Linked DNA regions of Drosophila melanogaster. The protein of the gene in region 1 interacts with the protein of each later gene in a pairwise test. Each region holds a gene or a part of one and is shown on either strand. Other genes may lie near its edges.

Region 1 (7,591 bases):
CCCGTGCGAAACCACATGCCGTCGGAGCTGAGGGCTCTTCGAGTGGCCTCCGGGTTTCGGTAGTAGCCTGCCCACTTGAACCGCAAACGGGCGTAGATGATGCCCACTTCATTGATGCCAAGTGGCATCTTCAGTTTGTCCAGCACCCGCAGCTCAACATTCCGCATAACCTTGCCCTCGCAACCCACTGGTCCACCCACGTTTTTGCTCAGTCCGCCCATCTCGGACAGCCCATAGCCCACAACAAATCTCTGGTTACCAATCAACTCGTACATCCTGCGACACACCGCCTTGCACACTTTAGATCCAGCTCCAATCAAAACCCGTATGGATTGGAGCTGGGCCTTCAGTTCCATCACATCACTGTCATGCTTGGATAGCAGGGCAATCTGATGGGAGGCCAGGAACAGAAAGGTCACCTTGTGCCTCGCCACCAGTTGGAGCAGGTACTCCACGCTGTATGGACGATTGGTGATTATGCGACGACAACCATTGAGGAGCGAGGCCAGAAGGATTATGGTTCCCGATATCCAGTAGAGGGGACTGAACGAGAGCAGCACGCTATCTCGGGTGTAGGTGTTCGGACTGTAAGGAGATAGTATTATTCCTCATAATATTAATAATTGAAAATATATAGTAATCGTTCTGATTGCTTAGAAATTGTATCATAAATATATGGAAAAGGTGATATCCAAGAAGATGGCAGGTTAAATGAAAACATACTTCTTGCAGTTACAGAGTAAACTTCGATGGGATCGAGTGACGCCTTTTGGCATTCCCGTGGTTCCCGAGGAGCACACAATGAATGCGGTGTGATCGCCGTGTAGTTTTGGACAAGGAACATACCTAAAATTAGAAAACATCTATTAGAATTGATTTAGTTCATCGCGAAATACACAGAAACTTACGCGGCTGCTGTAATGCTGTCTTCATCATTTAGCATCTCGCTTATGTCCAGCACTCCTTCTAATTTTCCATTGACCAGATAGATCTTGGCGGGATTTTGTAGTTTTCCATTGACCGTCTTTATTATATGGTAGTTTTCTACATCGCAGAAGATAACCTTCGGCTCGGTAATGTCGTACATGTATTTGACAGTCTCTGAAAGGGAATTTAATTTCATCATAATAGTAAGCATACTAAAGTAAGTACAGGAGTTTTGAACCTCACCTTCAGTAAACTCCGGATGCAGTGGATTAATGGGGATGCCACGGAGCAAAGCCGCAATTATCACACTGGTTAAATACGTCGAGTTATTGGCCGATATGCCAACGACATCGCCCCTCCGTAGACCCAATCTCTTGAAGGCCTGTGCTATGCGGGCACTCTGCTGAGCCAACTGAGCACCGGTGAGCTCCTGACCCGTGGTATCACATATTTGCATCACCTGATCTGCGTTAATCTGCAGCACGCGCATGATGACCTCGCCCAGGGTCATTTCTGGACCGTAGAAGTCCTTGCCACGCGGTCCAAACCAAGTCCGCGAAGCGGCATCGTAGTGCACCTCACAGCTCATAGTGTTTTCCAACGTCCGGCGATCGAATAAGTGCTTTATTGCGTCTCATTTGGGTTTTATATGGCTCGGGGAGTACGGAAAACAAAGTGGAGCTGTTAATTAGTAGGACACGGCAAGACATCGATGCTTGTCGCCAGTGTCAACTAAAATAGATGCTGATTTACTCATTGGCAAGTCGGAGCCGCCTCTGTTTTCCGCTAATCAAATCGAGCCGTCCAGCAGACATGGAAACTTTTTAATTTCTTTCACAGTTCTTGTGATGATTCACTGTGTTTACATTTATTAAACACGATTATAAACAACTCATGTATTGTATATTTAGCATAAATCTTATCTCACAAATGTGTGGTTGCCTCGCTCAACTGCGACCAGATCTTCCTGCGCTGCACCTTACTGTTCTGCGTCTTCGGCAGATTGTCCACAAAGAAGACTCCTCCGCGGATGTGGAAGGCATCGCTTAGATGTTGTGCCACAACTCCCTTGACATCCGCCTCGGTCAGCTGGGCACCCAACTCATCCTCATTCCGAACCACTGCACAGGCTGTAAGATTGGTGGACACCTCATCGGGAATTCCGAAGACAGCCACTTCGTGGACTCCGGGCAGATGGAGAATCACGTCCTCGATCTGCTTGGGATAAATGGGGAAGTGATTGTACTTGAAGACATCGGTGTCACGGGACTGAAAGTGCAGGCAGCCCTCATCGTCAAAGTATCCATGATCGCCGGTGAGCAACCACTTGCCGTCGGGCGTGACGGTCACCTGGGTCTCCTGCGGATTGTGATAGTAGCCGCCCCAGCGAAGGTTGAGCCGCACCAGGATCTGGCCCGTCTGGTTGGGGCCCAAGGACTGACCGTGTGGGTCTACCACGCGAACCTGGACATTTCGCAGCAACCTGCCCTCGCTGCCCAGTGGACCTCCCACATTCTTGGAGATTCCTCCGGTCTCTGTGAGACCGTAGAGCACGGCGAATCTGTTCGCACCCAGTAGCTCGTACAACTGCCGCCAGATGCCCATCGGTACCTTCGAGCCACTGCACACGAAGGACTGAACACACTGCATCTTGGCTGCTAGCTCCTGTCTCTCTGGGCTCTTGGCCAGCAGAGCCATGTGGTGGGGCACTGTGAGCACAAAGCTGACCTGGTGTCGTTCCACAAGGTCTGCAAAGTACGCCACGCTGAAAGGACGATTGGTGATGATCCTGCGACATCCATTGACCAGCGAAGCGAGCAGTGTGAAGATACAGCTGATCCAATAGAGCGGACTGAAGCAGAACAGCACTGTATCCGAGGTAAAGAGCTGAGGGCTGTTTAATATCCATTAGGGGTCATATTTTTCAAATGCTCTTGCCACATTCTACTCACATTTTGGCACTGTTCAGCAGACTGCGATGCGAACGGGTTACGCCCTTTGGCAAACCGGTTACACCCGAGGAGGTGATGATGAAGGCCGTATCATCGCCACACAAATGCGGGCAGGCAAAGCTGGAAGATCAGGACTAGCTTGAGGGTTCTTTCTTTGAACTTCTGGTTTCACATCTACATACAGTGTTTTCTCATCGTATCCAGTGCAGCCATCTGCAAGCAAATCCTGAATGTTACGCACTCCAGGCAGAGTTCCAGTGAGCAGAATGATCTCCGTCTTGAACTTGAGACTGCTTTTGACCGCGCTCAAGGTCTGGTAGTTGTCCAGGTCGCAGAATATCACCTTGGGCTTCGTGATCTCGAACATATAGGCCGTGGTTTCTGTGTATAAAGTTGTGCATTTAACGAGTTATATAAATATATATCCGATTTCTTCTACCCGCATCGAAGTCCGGATGCAGTGGGTTGATGGGTGTGCCATTCAGCAGGGCTGCGATGACCACTTCGGTGAGATAGGTGGTGTTCTTGGCCGAAATGCCAACCACATCGCCGCGTTGCAGCTTCAATCGTTGAAAGGCGTGGGCCAATCGACGACTTTGCTCCAGCAACTGACTACCGGTGAGCTCCTCGCCCGTGGGATCATACACCTGCATCACCTTGTCCGAGTACAGACGCAGGATGATCAGTGCCACCTCGCCCAGCGTCATATCCGGACCGTAGTACTCCTTGTCCTTTGGCCCAGACCATATCTTCTCAAAGCTGTCGTACTTGGTGGACGCCATTTGGCTCTCTCTGCGTTCTGGATTCCTTTTGGCCGTTCGATTGGACAAAACACAACTTTCGTACACATCAACTGAGTTTCGGCGAGAGTGGCCTGGCCTATATATACAGTCGGCACTCGGGAGGTGCTAGAACTAGATGTTCGATCTGCTAATTAGTTCGACACGTTCTCCATGCCCACATACACATACCTTCTACCCGCTTCCATGGGCAGCGCTCCTAATGAACTTTGCCGACTGCTGGCGCTGCCAAATTATCAGGTGAGTTTGGGTGCACCTCATGGTTACTGAGATTGGTACCAAAAAGGATGTCATAGGACAGCTATCTAGCTTTAGAAAGTAGGATTCCCAAGTAGTCCTTAGTTACTTCTAAGGATCACTTGAAAATGTGTTTCTTTAAAAGAATTAGATAAGGATCCTTAGTCTTCTATATTCATTCCATTTCACATAGCTTCCAACCACTGTGCCAGTTGGAACTCAGTCCATGGCCGTTGCATGGCAATTGCATAATTTCCACGATTTAACACGGTTTGAGCTCCGTTCACTTTTGCCCATCTCTGCTCCCTGACTGCGCCCGCTCCATTTCCTATATCCTTGCCATATCCTTGCGCTGCGGCTGTCTCCACGTGCCACGATTCCTGGTTCTTGTTGCGTCTGTCCGTCTGGCCAGGTGAATGGATATATACGCATCGCAACCGTACTCGTATTCGTATAACTGCCATGTGCAACCGCAGAGAGATAGAGTCGCATCCTTGATGGGCACACGCTTCATTTGCGTGCTTAGTTAGGAAATCAAGCGTATGGCTGCAGAACAAGTGGGCGGACTGGCGGTGATGGGGCGGCACTTAAAATGCAAGGTGCATCCACCTGAATGGGGTGTGGGTGTTGGCTTAAACTTCGATTCGTGGCCGGGACTAAAAGTTGCCCAGCATCAGCGGGCGGAAGTTCCGGGGCGTTTGGAGATAGTTCGCCGGGCTGAGTGAAAAACTCGGATTTTGCCTGCCGCAGCTGGATTCATTGATTTCACTTAAATTCTTGTGATGCAAGAATAAACTAAATTAATTACACGGTCGGCAGAAATGTGCAACAAACCAGCTTTGGCTGAAGAGGTGCAAAAGTGGTGGCGCGCTCTGATCAGCGACTAAGAAAAGTTTTGCGAAACTTTTTTATGGCCATTTCATGACCCAATCTCGTCTTGGGAGCAAAACAGGGCTATTCTGCTGCTAGCAACTTGGTCCACATTTAACTAACTTCAAATCTCGGCAATTAACTGAAAGTCACCAGCCGGGGAACTGGAGACTTGGCAAATGTAATCAGGCTCAACATTATAATTAACCGCAAAATGCAGTTACGAGTCTATTTTTTTTTTTACCACCCACCCCACTGAACAACCTAGAGACTCCATTCCGCTGGCCGTCTATTAAAACTTTTACGACAAGTAGGCGAAAAAAAATTACCTAATTAAAATGATTGACTAAACAGAAAAGTTTGTGCGAAATCATTTTTGCTTTTTTTCCCCCCTCCGCCATCCGCAACTAGCTGGGCATACTTTTCCGGAACAATAGTTTCTTCCGGTTGTGGTGTGCTCCTCTATATATACGTACGTACGTACGTAAAGCTCGCCATCCCGTTCGCACAGTAGCCCTTGCTCTTTTGCGCTTATTTATTGTTTGCCGTTTGCCTGAAGGCAGTGAGATTTTTTCTGTAGGAAATGTTTGGAGTGGAGGCCTCCCCGCAAAAACCTTAGAGATGCGACAGCAGCTTGTTGTTCATCTAACAAATTAACGAACGCCTCGAGTCTTGTTGCGTGCTATTCCCCTCTCTTTCGCCCAGCATCTGCCCGTCTCTTTCCATTCCCTTTCGACCGGGGCAGAAAACTTTGAAGTGTTAATGAATTGAGCGGGATGGCGAGATGGGTGGGTAAAAAAAAAGGTGGGGGGAGGAGGGGTGCTGTTTTGGCCAGAGTAATGACCGTTGGCCGCTTTTGTGGTCGATTTTCTGGTAATTGAAGTTATGATTTAATTTAATTTACCGCAAAAGTGTTGACAGTTAGATAAGAATCAGGAGGAAAAGTCAAGGAAAAAAACGAAAAGAACACAGCTTGAAAGGAAGTAAGCTTGATATCCTTAAGGGTGGGAACATCATTAAAATCCTTTAAGTCCTTTAAAAAATATGTAACTTTAAGCTAAAAGATACACAAAATCTGAACTTATGCAGAACATCAACAAATGTCATTTGTAATTAAGATTTAAGTTGAATTGTTTAGAATAATTATAACAGCTTTAGATGTAATTTAAGTCTTTAAAAAGTCGTAACTTTAAACTCACAACTCGAACGTCATTAGGCATGTAATTAAATTAATTATCTCAAAGTCCCTCTTAGCTTCGATATATGCAAATTATATTCAAGGTGGTAAGCGGCAGTACAGCTGATTCGAGGACAGCCTGAATAATTCAAATGGAATTATGCAACGTGGCATTTAATAATTCACAAGTGAGAGATGTGTTTTAGGCGTCATTACAAATCGTTACAACACTAATAATCCATCCAAATGACTCATAAACAATTAATTAGAGCGCCTTATAGATGCTCTCGAGTGTTTTTGTCTGCACACACACGTCCGTAGACAAACACACACCCATATGCATAACGAATGTCCTGGAAAACGGAGGTCCTATTTTACTGCACTTTCCAAGTCGCCTGCCTGCATTTGTGTATGTGTGTGTGTGTGTGTGCTGGCCACAAAACCAATTACACACTCGATTCGAAAGCGTTTTCGCTATGGGCCCAAATCGGTGCATGGAGCATGGAACGGTTGGCGGGGGGCGTTGCGGGCCAACACTTAACCCTGAGGAAACTACGCATCTGTTTAATGGAGTCAACTGTGTGAATGGGGATGCCCCAATCCAAACTGCATGAGTCTGGGATGGGTAAGGTGGGTGGTGGGTAAGGACTCGATCCCCAAAGGCACATAAAAAGCATTTAATTTAAGCGTTGTCCTAATGTCTTTTATGGCAATAGAAGAAACTACTGAGCAGCTGCTATTATGTCTTTTAGATGTGCTTTTAAACCCGCTAATTCTTAATTGATACTTCGAATGCCAAATTAAAATCTTAAGTAGTCTAAGTTTCCACTTCTTAGCTGCCATTTATGTTTTATTCTTCTACGCAGCTGACTGTTTCACAGAGCTCATTTAAAGATTAAAGTTTTATATTTAAGCTATCCTACCATTTATTTCATTGACCCCATGTGTGTTTAGTGGCATGCAGCACTACCTACCTACCTGCTTTTTAACAGGATGTGCTTATCACTAGTGGGAGCCACTTGCAATTATAGTTTATCGCAGTCTTTTATTGTTCCCCACCATGCGCTCCACATTCATTTTTAATTTCACTTCCCAAAGCACTCAGAAACGGGTGTTAACTACAGATTTCTCACTCGTTTTAACGCCTCAGCCAAGCCATTATGCGATTTGCACCTGCTCGTCGCTGCCCCAGCAATGCAAAGTGAGTTGCCAAAAAATTTTAATTAGAAAATTCGCACATATGCACCTAATGTCCCCGTTAACGACGGCCTCCAACGGAAGTCAGCAGAGCAGCCAAACGACGAGGGCGGCAAATCGCCACTTTCGATTAAGCTCCTGCCCAGGACCAACCTGCGATTGTTGTCCCGCAACCGTGCCACCTGGGCCATCGACAAAAGCCATTCACAATTGTCGCCGCTTTTTGAATTGCAGCGCGGAGGCGCCTCTTTATGCGGACAGCAGAGTCCAGAATTCTAGAAGCGGGCCCAAATAGATTAACTTTTTATGACTTGAATGTAGGTATCTATTATGTTTATGCCATATGTCGTAATATTAACATTTTAATTTATTTTTTGTTAAGGGAAGGAAGAGTTATCATATTGAACGCTGCTGTTCGTTGAAGTGCCAGT
Region 2 (7,857 bases), on another chromosome or scaffold:
ACTGACTCATAGGTTCCATATATATATATATGTATATGTATATATACATATGTATTTCCCTTATACTTGAACCAACTCAATGACACGCCCCTTTCTTTGGACCCCCTCTCAAGTGACTTGGCCTCTTTTTCTGCCTCCTTAAACTGATCCCCGTTCCCCTTGCCATCACCTCCACCCTCTTTCACGTTCGCTTATAGCAATTTCCGTAACTGTAGATAAGAAAAAGAAACAACTACGAGAACCACTCCTTGTCTCGTTTGCCATTATAATCTATTGGACTTTATATACGTATGTATGTACATTTGTATTTGCAAGTGTATCTTTAAAACGATTAACATGAATTTCGCAAACTGTTTGCAAGGTCCTATAAACTTATTGCATTAAACACTCTTTAAAAAATATTCAGCTATTTATATGATTTAATATAAGTAGATCACTTCAAATGCAGAAATATTTGTGGCTCTAAAATGTATATTTGAATAAAAATGAATAGTTGTAACATTGTAAAAAAATAACCTATGATAATTCCTAAGCTAATCAAATTTTGTGAAGTGCACGGATACTTTAAGATCTTCAAGAGTATTAACCACTTCGTTTTTGAATATTTGCACATGTGGTGGTATCAATTTTTTATTTATTGACGTCTGTTGGTTCCTGAGTAACGGAACGTGTAAGCGAGCCAGATAAACAATTAATCAATTCTGTCGCACCAGCTAGAATACACACCCACACACATGCATAGCACACCTATGATAGCACACACCCACACCCGCATCGGTGAAAAAGAGAAGCTCCCCCCTTTTCTTTAAAAATATAACTTTTTGAAATCGTCAAAAGTCTGTGAATTTTTAATGCACTTTGCACTGTGCGATTTTTGGATCTTATTTTTGGAGCTTTATTGCGCCAAACTGCCGTAAACAACTAATGGATTTTGTTATTGTGGCGAAATAATTTCGCAAGACACGTGCAGCAGCATGTGTGGGAGTGGAAGTGAAAGAAGAAGAGTGAAGAGTGGAGAGAGCGTGAGGCGGAGGGAGTTGTAGTTGGAGCTGCTTTAAGCTAGACGTCATCGCACTCTCGCCCTCTTCTATTTCGTACCAACACTTTCCGGCGGGGGGCGTGTGAGTGAATGGAATAGGAGCACAGCAAGGGCCGAGAAATTAGCAACGCTGTGAAAAAATGTGGTTACACGGGGTTAGTTGAAGAAGCCTTAGCGAACTAATCATTTTTTATTATTCTCTATTAAATATATCTTTTAATTCTTGTTTTATCTTTCGGCAATTATTTCAAAGTCATGTTGATTTCTCTTTTTAATGCTCTCTTGAAAACTGATGGCCAGCTGACTTCTAGGTGCTAGTTTCTGGCCCCCGACTGTTGGTGTCTGGTCTTGTATAACAGTTATGAGGCCACATGCCAGCACACACGTTTGCAGACATGCCCTCTCACATACATTCCTACAAACATATGGATATACAGACATACATACGTTCGTAAGCCTGTATGTTCACATGCACTCTCACTTGTAGTTGGAAACGCTCTACTCGTTGTTGTTGCAATTACGGACGAGCCTCTTTGGAAAAAATGCTGGAAAACAAAAAAGATCACAAGACATAAACAACAATGCAAAAACGCAGCACCGAATGGAAATTGCACATGAAATCTAGCTGCAAAAATATGAAACAACAAAATTCCATTGAATGGAGAGCCAGAAAGAGCGAAGTAGAGGGGAAGAGAGTGAGAGAAGGAGGGAGCGGAACTTCAAACTGGGCGGCACGTACACACACAAAAGAGGGCAGGGCGGGGAGACGAGCCCCACGGACACTGAACAAAAATACATACAAATGCAAAGATATATGTATTTGAGGATGTTGACGCGTCGCTAGAACTTGAGAATTCCAAGAAGCGGTAAAAACGGGTGAGACGATGATGGTAGGGGAGTTGGGGAGGGGAAGGTAGCTGTCAACAGCTACGCAAACTTGCTCTCCCATTTTTCTGGGTAAACCTTGCTCTTTCTCATCTAAAACGGCATTGTTATACTAACACCGATGCCGAGGGAGAGCGAGATCGCTGAGAGTGGGAAAGCGGGTGGTGGGGCCCGGCGCCGAACAGGGGGTTCAAAGAACGAAGCCAATACGCAGGCAGCAACGAAAAATCCTATTGGCTACTTTTAAATGCGCTACCGACATTAAATGGATATAAATACATGTGTCTCTATCAAATAAAAAAATTTTGCGTACTAACTGGCGACCCACAATGGTAAATATAGTACAGGTGCTTACCTGTACCTGTGGTCTTACTTTTGACCTTCTTCCTTACACAATTTATAATAAAGGCAGTCTACATGTTTAGCTTGAGCTTAATACAAAAGAGATAATTTATTGGGCCTAGGTGGCGTATGAGTAATAAACGTATACTGAATATTTTCTAATAACTTGTTTGCAAAATCAGAAAACTGTTTTTTCTTATATATTTATATAATATATAATACATTTCTGTGCCACAGAAATTCCATTGCACCCCACAGTTTGTAGGGTGTCAATATCAGCCAAATTGCTGACGACGACAAAAGGCGGCTCTCTCATAAGCGGAAGCAAAAAGAGAGAGCGTCGCCGCCAGGCCCTTGTAGTTCCGCGTTTATGGCACGATAAGAACGAGATATTTCTTAAAAATGTTGTAAATTAGTTAGTTAATAGCGTAATTAATATCAAAACAAATTTAACACAGTGATAATAGGCGACCAATTTAATTTGTCAAAGAAATGCAAAACCATTAACCATTAACATTAATTAAACCATTAACATCTTAAGAAAATAATTTTTTTCCTTGAAGAGAAAAGCCTGAAATATATTGACTATATTTGAGATGACAAATTAAAATGTTTATCAAATGCGTGATCACGATATTGCTTACGCGACGCATAAGGGTTTCCGCATAAACACGCGTTTGACTCATTCTCATTCATAGCCACTCTCTCGCCCCCTCTCTCACGCGCACCCTATCAATATGCCATTTGTGGACCCCTCAGCGTCGCACATATACACGCCATATCTCCAACCATGCCGCCCCAAAACCGATTTTCAGTTTTTGACCTTCAAGGTTCCTTCACGGCGAGCGAGAGAGAGAGAGAGTGAGAGTGTGAGCGCGGCTCGCAGTCGCGGTCGGCGCCGGCAGCGCAGCAGCAGCGACAGCGAAAAGTGAGCACCAGTCGGCGAGTGAATTTAATTTCGTAAAAAACGTTCCGAGCGTTTGGACGCGTGCAGCGGACGAAAATAAAACACGGCGAGAGCGAGAATCGTGTGTGTGGACACTCAAAGACTCAAAATTGAAACCAACTCGAAAAGGTTGCACTGCAAATGCCCAAGTAGAAAAGCCAACGCGAGTGTGCACATCGAATACGAAAATTGTAAACGTTTTTTTTTTGCCGTGTGAGTGCAAGCGCATAAGATCGAAGAAAAACAGCCAGAGCAAGAAAGAACCGAAAAAAGGCAGAGAGAATCAAAAAAGAAAAAAGGAAAAAAAAAACAAGCAGGAAAACACCAACATAATAATGGATCGGGAGCTGAACGGGGCGATGAAGAGCGTGTCCATAAATAGCGCCCAACTGAATGGTCACAATAACGGTGGCGGGCTAGATGAAACGGACCGCGTGGGCGTGGCACAGGGGGCGGCACTGAGTGCAACAGAGAAAATTACAACAACGACGGCGGCAGCTACAAAATCAGCGACAGCGACCACAAATGCAACCACAGCAACAGCCACAACCACAAATCTTACAACTCACAGCCCGCAGCAAATTGCACTCTTATCCGCTGCAGAGAAAAGTAAGATGGTGCACGAGTTATGTCAGCAGCTGCTTCTAACGGACGAACAGGTGCAGGAGCTGTGCTACCGCATCCTGCACGAGCTGCGCCGCGGCCTGGCCAAGGATACACATCCCAAGGCGAATGTCAAGTGCTTCGTAACGTATGTGCAGGATCTGCCCAATGGCAATGAGCGTGGCAAGTTCTTGGCCTTGGATCTGGGTGGCACCAACTTCCGGGTGCTGCTCATCCATCTGCAGGAGAACAACGATTTTCAAATGGAGTCCCGCATCTATGCCATACCGCAGCACATTATGATTGGATCGGGTACACAGCTATTCGATCACATCGCCGAATGTCTGTCCAACTTTATGGCCGAGCACAATGTGTACAAGGAGCGTTTGCCACTCGGTTTCACCTTCTCGTTCCCGCTGCGCCAATTGGGTCTGACCAAGGGCCTGCTGGAGACCTGGACCAAGGGCTTCAACTGCGCTGGCGTCGTCAACGAGGATGTTGTCCAGTTGCTAAAGGATGCCATCGCACGGCGCGGCGATGTCCAGATCGATGTGTGTGCCATACTCAATGACACCACTGGCACGCTGATGAGCTGCGCCTGGAAGAATCACAACTGCAAGATCGGTCTGATTGTCGGCACCGGTGCAAATGCCTGCTATATGGAGCGTGTGGAGGAGGCGGAGCTCTTCGCCGCCGAGGATCCGCGCAAGAAGCACGTCCTGATCAACACGGAATGGGGCGCATTCGGCGACAATGGCGCACTGGACTTTGTGCGCACCGAATTCGATCGGGACATCGATGTGCACAGCATCAATCCGGGCAAGCAGACGTTCGAGAAGATGATATCGGGCATGTATATGGGCGAGCTGGTGCGTCTGGTGCTGGTGAAGATGACCCAGGCGGGTATACTCTTCAATGGACAGGATTCCGAAGTGCTAAACACCCGCGGACTGTTCTTCACCAAGTATGTGAGCGAAATTGAAGCTGACGAGCCAGGCAACTTCACCAATTGCCGCCTGGTGCTGGAGGAGCTCGGTCTGACCAATGCCACCGACGGGGACTGCGCCAATGTGCGGTACATCTGCGAGTGCGTCTCGAAACGGGCTGCCCACCTGGTGTCCGCCGGCATTGCCACGCTGATCAACAAAATGGACGAGCCAACGGTGACGGTGGGCGTCGATGGCAGTGTGTACCGCTTCCATCCCAAGTTCCATAACCTGATGGTCGAGAAGATCTCGCAGCTGATCAAGCCGGGCATCACCTTCGATCTGATGCTGTCCGAGGACGGTTCCGGTCGTGGAGCTGCCCTGGTGGCGGCCGTCGCCTGTCGCGAAGACATACTCAATGGCAAGAAGTAGGATGGATAGGGAGCTGGAGCTGGATCAGGAACCAGGAGGAGGAGCCGCTGGAGCAGCTGGAGCAGTCCTAAGAGATACAGCAACACACCCACACAACCACAAAAACAGCAGAGCAAATGAGAAATACCTAGTAAACGGCCACGGTGGCGTATGCGTAATAATTACAGTAGAGCCACGCTAACTCACAAAAGCCCTATAGCCAAACGATATGAAAAAATGAAGCTGCCACGACGAAAAGTAATCGAAAAGCCCACGAAAAACTTATATGTGCATACGTAGGGCATTTGTGAGTTGGCGCGACTTGGCTTTAGTATTTTAATTAGGCAAAAACCAGGTTTTTCACTACAAACACAAGCGTAACAGAAACCCCCCCACTAAGAGACAGAAGATCTGTGGCATTCTATCTCTTTCTCTCCTAGTAAAAGAAAACAAAGAAGAAGAAAAAACACTATGCTTAATGATTATGGATCGATTTTCGATTTTTGTTGAAAATTTGTTATGCTATTATATATATATATATTTTACAAGAAAACATAATATACACACACTAAAAACATAATGTATATGTTTGCGTATATATAGTACAATTTGTGAAGCGAATTTCTTTTCGATTTCGATTGAAACAACAAATTTTTTTTGGTAATTCCCTGCCCAAAAGACCCCTGAAACCCCCCTAAAAAAACGGAGATACTTAAGAGCAAGTGAGAAAAGAAACTGTTATACTACTGTGCTACAAGCATTCTAGCATATCCTGCAGGACAACGGAAAGAGAAACTGTAAAACCGCACATTGTTAAAGCAAAAACGAAAACGAAAAAAGCAACAAAAAACAAGCCGCTAGAGAAGAGACAGAAACAGAGGGATAGAAAGGAAGAGAGCGAGAGAGAGCGAGCGAGAGAAAGAGAGAGAGGATTACTAGGTAATGCTACGGTGTCCTTTCTGTAATTGTAAATGTTTATATAGAACCTATTACGAAGCGTTATATGATAATACTGCATACATATATATAAATATAAATATGATATATTTAGCCACTATATTACTGATTTTTTTTTTTGTAATGTATTGCTTGTCTTTGTTTAGTGAATTTGTTTGTTGTTAACACTTAAGCAGGTAAACTCTAAACAAAAATAAACTGTTTTTTTTTTTCCTTTTGATATAGAAACGCACTTTGTGAGCTATTATTTATGTAATTGTACATTTGACCTAGTTTAGTGTTTAGTTCTTATCTTAGTTTCTAAATGTCGTCGAAGAAGCCAGCAATACAACCAATATAATACCCCCACCCCAAAAAAAAAACCCAACCCACGCAGCCCTTAATTATATTTAATTATTGTTTACGAACAACAAACGAAGAGAATGCGAGAAGCTAAAAGGCAAATAAGCAAAATGGAAAGCAAATAAAATTTGTTCTTAATTCATACACAAGTAGTTGTTACTTATTTCTCCCAAATTAATTGGTTTTCCAAAGTGATTAGGTTTTTTCCAGATTGATTTCAGTATGATTTGATCTGTTTTCCATATGATTCGGTATCATTTGATCATTTTTGCAGCTGCTGGCCGGCATGCTCAGTCAACACAAAAACTTAAACAATTCGCAATTGAGGCAAAACGAAGATACATTTTTTTGGTCTAATACTAAGCGGAGAATGAGCCTAACCTAAGAGATATGTTATAATAAATGGCGGGAGCAGCGAACCAGTGTTTCTATTTTTCAAGAAAGAAAAAAACGAAAAACAAGAAGAATGTAATATAAACTTAGCCCATGTTAAAATGAAAATTGAAAACCAATTAAAAACTCTCGTTATCAAAAGGCGATTCAAACATAAATTGCTAAGAACAAACAAACACAAATCGAAGGCTTGAAAGTGCAGATGAGATGAATTTAGTAAATGATATAAACAAATGGAATGTTTGTCAACAGTGAAGCAAAATAAAGACGATTGAACCAAACAACAGAGAAGCAAATCAAAACGTGATACGTGTTCTTTTGGGCCTAACATAACGGTGTACAATATATTTATTTAAAACTTTATTCTCGTTTTATTGCTATAGTTGCTGCAGACTAAAATTATATATCATCAGAGGCAATAACAATCAGTCAGCACTTAGCTAGCTCAATTTTGTTATTTATATTACTTGAATGCCCTACACAAAAGGCGGGCACTTCGATTTCGCCAGATGTTTTGTTTTATTCGGTGCATAAAATATTTCCCATTTATTTGCTCAGCTGTGTGTGTTTTTGTTATAATATATATTTTTGGATAATGTTCATATAGTAGAACATTCATATTCTTGTATTGTATTGCATTATGACATATTTGGGTATTTTGCTAGGAATTACTTGAGCTAAAAATAGTGCACATAGTGCGTATCCCCTCTTAAATTGTAGGGTATTTCCAGTGCCGCAATCAGCCGTTGCACTTGAGTCTTACGTAGTTTTTCGCCGCTTTTGTAGTCCATTTTAAATTGAATCATTTGCAGTCGGGTTTTCGTTTGACGCATTTGAATTACAAGTGCTGCGATCCACAGCAGACAAAAGGCTTGATTGAGCCATTGATCGCATAAAGGGGCGACGGATTTGGTGGCGGGGGCGGTCGGTTCTGGAATGGGTTGAGCGGTACGACTGATGAGGCGGCGAGGCGGTTAGGCGAGCGTTCGATAAACACCAAAGTCATCGATCGA

What was found. The genes of interacting proteins can lie anywhere in the genome.
Region 2: the proteins of CG9993 (region 1) and Hex-A interact in a two-hybrid assay, tested with the Drosophila melanogaster proteins (one large-scale study listed by BioGRID).

What each region holds. Positions count from the first base shown.
Region 1 is NT_033778.4:20,848,388-20,855,978, forward strand, and holds CG9993 (uncharacterized protein), read right to left. Parts: upstream 3,739-7,591; 5' UTR 3,662-3,738; coding exon 3,319-3,661; intron 3,261-3,318; coding exon 3,062-3,260; intron 3,000-3,061; coding exon 2,880-2,999; intron 2,822-2,879; coding exon 1,852-2,821; 3' UTR 1,759-1,851; downstream 1-1,758. Other genes in the region: CG17999 (uncharacterized protein), read right to left, coding at 1-585, 724-846, 909-1,101, 1,171-1,516.
Region 2 is NC_004354.4:9,582,672-9,590,528, forward strand, and holds Hex-A (hexokinase A), read left to right. Parts: upstream 1-3,218; 5' UTR 3,219-3,547; coding exon 3,548-5,173; 3' UTR 5,174-5,730; downstream 5,731-7,857.